2 linked regions of the Lonchura striata genome follow. The main gene of each other region encodes a partner of the protein of the gene in region 2 in a complex. Links are inferred from orthologs where the notes say so. Each region holds a gene or a part of one and is shown on either strand. Other genes may lie near its edges.

Region 1 (3,744 bases), on a different chromosome or scaffold from region 2:
GGAAATTGCCTCAGCTTACATCCCTCAGAGGGGTCTGCACCGCTCCCAGCCCGGCCACCAGCGCCACAGAGACTCTGCACTGCAGGGAAAAGTCCAGCCCAAGGATCCCTGAGCATCCTGAACACTCCTGCTTCACCAGAGAGGGAGCACGGACACCTCCCCCCGAGAGGAGGGACCCAGCCCCCATCCACCACCCCAGGGGTTCACATGAACCACGGAGAAAACATTTAAAACATTTATCATCAGCGAGTCCAACTACGTGCCAGTTAGACCCCAGGATGCATCTTCAGGGACTGCTCCTCCACTGGGAGTGCTGGTTTTGTTTCCCAGTATTCTGGAAGGAACTGGGCACTCAGCTGCTCACTCTGCCTTCCCGACCCTGCCAAATTCCTTGGCAGTCGTTCAGCGGGCAGAGGCGCGGGCACAGCCCGGCCCTGCACTCCTGCCCAGCAGGTTATCCCAGAGCAGCCCTGAAACACGCCCTGAACATCACACCTGGGCCAGCATCCCCGTGAATAACCCGGGACAGGCACAGACACCCTGCTCCTGGAAATCCCGGAGCTCTCCTCGGGCACGGGCACAGCCCGCCGAGGGGGCAGCCCTCAGCACGACCACACGGGCAGTTTCTGGGGGTTTGGGAAAATGAGCTGCAGCCACAGCGTGCTGTGGGGTGCACCTGGAGCCACTGGCACATCTGGCCGAGAAGGAGCTTTTTTAGACACTCTTACTTCAGCCTTTCCCCTGGAACTGCAGAACCAGACGTGCCTGAGGCACCAGAAAACTTGGCAGGGAAAGTTTGGTCCCAGAGGAATTTCCTAACTCCCCTACCCTGCCAAGCAACAATAACCTATTCCAGAGCTCCAGGAGATTCTCAGGAGCTGCTGGAGCTCCCTGATCCCCCTGTGGGCAGCCTGGAGTGGCACCTGGGGCTCAGCCAGCTCACCTGAGGGCACTGGATAACCTGGGCAGAGCTCTGTAGGCTGGGAAGAGCTGACCCCGCTGCCAGGCGTTCCTGAGCCCCGATTCTGTGGCCTGGGCGTGCTGGAGGTTTGTGGGGCCCCGCTGCTGGCTGGGGCTCCGGGAGCTTCACTCCACTGCTGAGGCTGATCCCTCACTCCAAGCAGGTCCCAACTCCCCAGGAGCAGCCCTGGGGCTGCTCCCCCTTAGGAACAGCCCCTCCCTGCTGCCAGTGCAGCTGCAGTGAGGGCAGACCCTCCAAAGCCCTGCCTGTGCTCCCCCGGGGCTGCGGCACGCACCTGGACCTCTGGAAGAAGCTGAAGCTGGACACGTCGTAGGCAGCTTTCAGCAGGCGCACCCTGGGCTCGCCTTTGTAAAGGACACTTAGGCTGTAGAGCCTCATGGCGGCGGCTCTGGGGCTGCGGAGAGAGGGCGGAGGGCTCGGGCTGGGCCTGCGGGCCGGGACAGCCCCGGGGCTCCCCCAAACCCCCCTCCCGTCCCGGACAGGTGGAGCCCCCAGCCCCACGCCTGCCTGCTCAGCCCGGCCCGGCACGGCTCAGCCTGGCCCAACCCAGTATAACCCACTATAACCCAGTAAAATCCACCCCAGTATAGCCCAGTATAGCCCAGTAACACACAGCCCGGTATAGCCCAGCACCCAGCCCAGTAAAATCCACCCCAGTATAGCCCAGTAAAACCCAGTCCAATATAACCCAGTAAAACCCAGGACCCAGCCCAGTAAAACTGAGTAAAACCCCGCAGAGTATAACCCAGTATGGCCCAGTATAACCCAGTAAAACCCAGCCCAGTATAACCCAGTAAAACCCGGCCCAGTATAACCCAGTATGGCCCAGTATAACCCAGTAAAACCCAGCCCAGTATAACCCAGTATGGCCCAGTATAACCCAGTAAAACCCAGCCCAGTATAACCCAGTATGGCCCAGTATAACCCCGTAAAACCCAGCCCAGTATAACTCAGTAAAACCCAGCCCAGTATAACCCAGTATGACCCAGTATAACCCAGTAAAACCCAGCCCAGTACAACCCAGTATGGCCCAGTATAACCCAGTATAACCCAGCCCCTCCACCCAGTGTAACGCGGCCACTGCCCAGTACAACCCAGCCCCAGCCATCCCCCGGCCCCAGCAGCCCCGGCCAGCCCCGCCAGCCCCGCCAGCCCCGGCCATTTCCGGGCCATCCCCGGGCCCGCCCGGTACCGGCGCTGCGGTCCCGGCGGCGGCCGAGCGGCGATGGGCGCGACCCGGAAGTGGAGCACAGCGGCCGGAAGTGCCGGCCCGGGGCGCCGTGGCACTCCTCCCGGCCTGCGCACGCGCCAAGATGGCTCCGCCCCCTCAGCCTTCTGACCAATCGGCGCCCGCTTCCCCGCTCTCCGGCGTCCCCCGGGAGGCCAATCAGCGCCGAGCTGGGGTGGCCCTGTTCCTCGGGGCGGCCAGCAGGGGGCGCTGTGCCCGGCGGGGCCGCGGGGGCGGGGCCTGTTCGGCTCCGTGGGGCGGGGTCCCGGGTGGGCCGGGGGTCCCGGGTGGGCGGGGTCCCGCGTGGGTCGGGGGTCCCGGGTGGGCGGGGTTCCGGGTGGGCGGGGTCCCGCGTGGGTCGGGGGTCCCGCCGTGGGCGGGGTCCCGCGGTGGGCGGGGTTCCGGGTGGGCCGGGGGTCCCACGGTGGGCGGGGTCCCGGGTGGGTCGGGGGTCCCGGGTGGGCCGGGGGTCCCGCGGTGGGTCGGGGGTCCCCTGTGTGGGGTCCCGTCCCCATGGCGTGGTGACCCCTCTGAGCAGGGGGAGCAGCCTCCCCCGGGTGCTGGGGCCCGCCCTGGGGAGCGGGGACCCCTCCGTGGGGCGGTTCCGCCGTGGGCAGTGGGGACCCCTCCGTGGGGCGGTCCTGCCCTGGGTGGAGGTCCATCCATGGTGGGGGGCAGGGGCTGAACCTCCCCAGGGTTTCGGAGCCCTCCGCGGTGCGAGGACCGCTCAGGGTGGGCTGCCAGGACCCTCCTGTGCGGCCGGGGGGAGCAGTGGGGTGCTGTGGGGTGACCCTGTGTCCCCCAGACCCTGCTCTGCCCCCAAACCCCGTGCCCTGCCCGGAGCCCCCGCAGCCCCCCGGGGCTGTCACCCCGGCGCCCCTCCGGGCTTCCCGGGGATGGGGCGACGCTTCCCGGAGCAGCGCCGGGAGGTTTCGGGGTCTCGGACCTCCACAGTCCCCGATTTGCGCGACGCCGGGTGCGACACGTGGCTCCGGGGGTGCCGCATCCCCCTCCTCAAATCCGGCCCCCCGCCCGGTCCCGGCGGCGCCGGGGCGGATCCGCGCCCCTCCGCGGGGTCCGCCGGCCGCGCCGTGCCCGCGGTCGCCATGGGAGCGTGCCGGTTGCCAAGCCGGCCGCTGGAGTGCTTGCCACCGCCATCGAGCGGTTGGCGTGACAACGGGGACACGGGTGACCCGGGGCGTGGTGCTCCGCGGGGAGGGTCCGGGCCGAGCCGGGCCAGCGCACCGGGGGTCTGCAGAGCTGGGACCCCCGCCCCGGGATTGATTTATTAAGGGAGCGAGCGGGAGAGGTGACCGGAGCCCCGGCGGAGCGGAGGATGTGCGGGCACAGCGCTGATCGCCCTGGGGCCCCGGGCCCCGCTCCCGGCCCCTCCGCTTGAGGCCACCGGGACCCCCTCGGCGGGCGCCGCGCTGGCCCGGCCGATGAGATAGCGCGGCGAAGGTGGAGCATCAGCGAGGCTCGGAGCAGCCCAGCGCCGCCGGACAGCCGCCAGCGCAGGGCAGGGGCTCCCCCA
Region 2 (3,744 bases):
ATATCAAGTACATATTTAAGAACTAACATATCTAATTTGTAAGGTAACAACCTCGAATTATACCTCCCTTATACTGAACTGGAATATGTGAAAGGAGCTGGATTGGACAGTTTGGAAATGTTCAGACATCACAGCCTGGAAAAACTTTAGTGTCCTGGTTCTCACAGTATTCAGAGTAATTCTAGAGCTAAAGTGGCAATAATGATCAACATTACAGCATCCTGTCCTACCTAAGGGGTTCAAACCCACCATCTTAAATCCAGCATAGTTTCTGCCTAAAAAAGAATGCTTTATTACTTTTTGTAATATCATTAAAATACTTCATCCAGAAGATTGAATGAAAGACACTCACTGCAAGCAATCAAGCCAATTGTTCAGAAGTGTTTGAGCCTTTTTGGTACTTTTTCACACAATGGTTTGCATCAGCAGAACAAAAAACCAGAACAAAATAAAGGCATGAGCAATAGTGAGAAAATAAGTCTATAACAGAGACAGCTGCAGTGAAAAAAATAAGATAGAGAGTTATTTCTTATCAGGGGGAGCATATTCACCAAATAAATTAAATGCTCAACAGATTAGTAAATTTTTTCAATTATACACCCCAAATAAACTCATATAAAAAAAAAAAATTTGCTCTTGTTCTGGTCATACATATCTGTCACCTCAGCGTGCACTAAGAATAATTTATAAAATAAAAAATTATCTATAAAATGCTCCAATAAAACCTGTAGCTAAGGAGGATTCCAAGATAACTTACAAAACTGGCAACAATGCTGTAACCATTAATTGACCATTAAAGGTAAAACATTCCCAAATAGGACAATTTTTGGAAAGTGACACAGCTAAATCCTACAGTTTTGTCCATTAGATTATTTTTTTTTTTTAAATAAGATACTGAAATAATTTTTGTCATGGGCCTCCAACAGTAACTGGTTCATAAATCTACAATCATAAAAACTTAATCACAAACACTTTTTTCTAAAATTACCCTTCTACTTTTACCTGGACAGCACTGAGGGTATACAGAAGATGAGGATCATGACCTATGCTGGCACTTATTCCACCACACTCATGTTGACACGATTTGATAAATGACAGAATTTCTTCTTTGTTCATTCGGTGCAGCTGCCCCATGAGATCCATCGCTGTCAGTCCCCAGTACACACCACTCATCCTCAAATACTCCGACATACAGTATTCCTAAATAGTGTATTATTTTAGTTCTTGATCAGATGAGCACACCATCAATATAGCGCAATGAAAATACATTAGTTAACTTCCACAAATATCTTAGCTTCTAGTTAGTGAATCGTTTTCCAACCATTTAGCAACTACACATCAGCCACTCAGAGATATTCGGTACATCACGCACATGTGTATATACATACTCATACATATGGGAAAATGTACATATAGATATCAACACGTACTATACTCCCTTCCTCCCTGTATTTTTCTAGTTCAAACCATCAAGCTCAATGTCAAATTAGCCACGAACAAGTAGTTGGGCACCAATTCACTTCAGATGACTTAATATCTTGACATCCAAAGAAGCCCTCAAATTGCCACCCTAACTAGTCTCAGATAATAACAAGTCTATTTCAAAGTGCCAAAACCCTTACAATTTAAAGTTGCACTAGAGAGTGAAATTTTTTATTGAATTCTCTTGCATTGATTACATCACCTGCACTACACAAACATTATTTTTTACATGCACTACAACTGAAAGCAAGTGCTTGGCATGCTTTTCTGAACAGTAAAGGTAACCGCAACTTTTCTTCATGTAAGCAGTTATTGACAATTTTTACTGCCGGAAGTGGAATTCCATTTTTGTGGACTACATCCAACCACTTATGATTGCAAAATAGATGTAAGTTGTCCCATCAAAAGAGTAACATGCAAATGCAACTCTACTTGTGCATTCTAGTGGATAAAGAAGCTAGTAGGCTGTTTCTCAGGTCTCAGAGTAATTATAGAGCTAAAATAATAATCTTCAAAATTATAGTCAGATAATACATGACAAAAGTCACCACAGACATAGAGACATTAACAAGGGCACCTTTGTTTTACACTTTGGATTGCAGGGTAAAAAACAATTAGCTAGTTAACATGCATCTAACCCTTAAATCTGAGCCAATAAATAAAGGTTATTACTGTTAACAAAACCACAGCTGCACTGTAACAAACTGATACGTACATAATCATCTTTCTTTGTTCCGTATGAAGCTATATAGTCCGCATGTTTTTCTGAAAGTAATGTGCTTGGGGCATCGGGTTTTATTATAACATCCTTTTGCGGTGTTCCCTGTAAAAAGCATCAAGAAGTCAGTTGCAATGTCAGATCAAAACGTTTTAGCAACTTGGTATAAATGAGCCAACACCGGTGGCTGTGACTTCGGGAAAAAAACATCCCTCTACCTATTTTGAGCCTAGGTCAGGTTGCGCATCTCACGCCATCACTGTTCAGCCTGGCTAAACCCTTCCCCAGGAAAGGCTACGAACCAAACCTTGCAATAAAGCTAAGAAGTAACACCAATTCGCCAAGGACACCCTGAAGTGCCGGACGCAGGAGCCCTTCCCCGAGCCCGGCCGTGCCGCCCCGCGCCCCCACGACTCCGCGCGGCCCGGCCGAGCCCGCGCGCTCCCGGGGCCGCTGGAGCGGCGAGAGCCGCCCCGAGCCGGCTCGGCGCGGCCCGCGCCCCTCCAAGGCCGGTACAGCCGCGCGCCAGACGAGCCGCAGCACGGAGCCCCGACCCACCATGTTCTCCGCACGCACAGGAGGAGGCGAGGAGGCGAAGCGGAAGGCGGAAGGCGGCGGCCGGCGGGGCCTCGCCGTGCCCCACAGGAAGAGGCGAAGCGGCGAGGCGGAAGGCGGGGCCGAGCGGCGCCGCTGCTCCGCGCTGTGCTCTTCAAGGGGCCGGCAGCCGCCTTTGCCTTCTGACGTGCGGCAGGTAAAGTCTGCTCCAGCTGTGCACTTTCTTCCATCACAGCAAATAGGACAGCGTTTAGAAATAACTTCGGTTTCCTTCCTCAGGTCTGTGAAAAAGCAAATCCAAGAATTTAGTCGCAGGTAAAATGGGTAAAGATAGCTGTCCTTTTGCTCAAAACCATTTCTCTTGCTTCTTCATTAAAATTGTCTTGGGTGACTCTATTCATGATTACCAACTCTTGATGCTGGCACATGTTCCCCCTGAACTATACCAGGCAGGAACATCAAAGAAGTAGTACTAAACATAATGCTGTGTTGCATAGGACAGTCAAAAATAAGGTCTGTTTCTTACATATGTCAAATACTTACTAAAGATGTTGCATTATGGGTTTTGGGGGAAAATCAGTAATTTATAGAGACTAACTGCTTTCTTTAAAGAACTGATTTTCCAGGTATTTTACCCAAGAAGTAAGGATTGCAGGCAGAGCTTATACCTGATGACAGCAGTAGAACCATCCGGTAAATTCAGATGAGACATGAAAGAGACCAGACAGAAGCAAGGACATTTTGGAGTGAAATTGGAAATTACTTACTAGAATTACTCAGGTTTGAAGATATCTCTTGAAATCATGGAGCACAACCCACCTACACCAAGTAGGCTTAGCTAGAGGCAGGTTGTTCAAGACACTACTTGTTGAGTTTTGAGAGTCAAATGGAGACTCCATCACCTCTGCCAGCATATAACATCCCTCCTGTCAATGGGTACTATGAGGCTGGCTCCCTCCCCTTTATTGCGTCCCATCAGGTATTCATAC

The links. Proteins that work in one complex are often made in the same cells at the same time.
Region 1: the proteins of RABGGTB (region 2) and YKT6 are in contact, whole or in part, in a crystal structure (PDB 6J7F), measured with the Homo sapiens proteins. The link is inferred for Lonchura striata from reciprocal best matches to the Homo sapiens genes RABGGTB and YKT6. Residues at the interface, in NP_004573.2 of Homo sapiens: Thr3, Pro4, Gln5, Lys6, Asp7, Ile9, Lys11, Tyr37, Leu45, Trp52, Leu236, Asp238, Cys240, Arg281, Gly283, Asp284, Met285, Asp287, Phe289, His290; in NP_006546.1 of Homo sapiens: Lys60, Gln62, Asp63, Leu65, Asn83, Glu84, Tyr85, Pro86, Ser87, Leu153, Asn155, Thr156, Glu158, Arg189, Lys190, Cys194, Cys195.

The regions. Positions count from the first base shown.
Region 1 is NC_134634.1:5,331,883-5,335,626, reverse strand, and holds the start of YKT6 (synaptobrevin homolog YKT6), read right to left. Parts: upstream 2,287-3,744; 5' UTR 2,175-2,286; intron 1,377-2,174; 5' UTR 1,361-1,376; coding exon 1,257-1,360; intron 1-1,256. UniProt on the Homo sapiens protein: Vesicular soluble NSF attachment protein receptor (v-SNARE) mediating vesicle docking and fusion to a specific acceptor cellular compartment. Functions in endoplasmic reticulum to Golgi transport; as part of a SNARE complex composed of GOSR1, GOSR2 and STX5.
Region 2 is NC_134611.1:4,027,205-4,030,948, forward strand, and holds the start of RABGGTB (geranylgeranyl transferase type-2 subunit beta), read right to left. Parts: upstream 2,844-3,744; 5' UTR 2,762-2,843; coding exon 2,759-2,761; intron 2,306-2,758; coding exon 2,198-2,305; intron 2,032-2,197; exon of another isoform or gene 1,956-2,031; intron 1,201-1,955; coding exon 1,003-1,200; intron 1-1,002. UniProt on the Homo sapiens protein: Catalyzes the transfer of a geranylgeranyl moiety from geranylgeranyl diphosphate to both cysteines of Rab proteins with the C-terminal sequence -XXCC, -XCXC and -CCXX, such as RAB1A, RAB3A, RAB5A and RAB7A.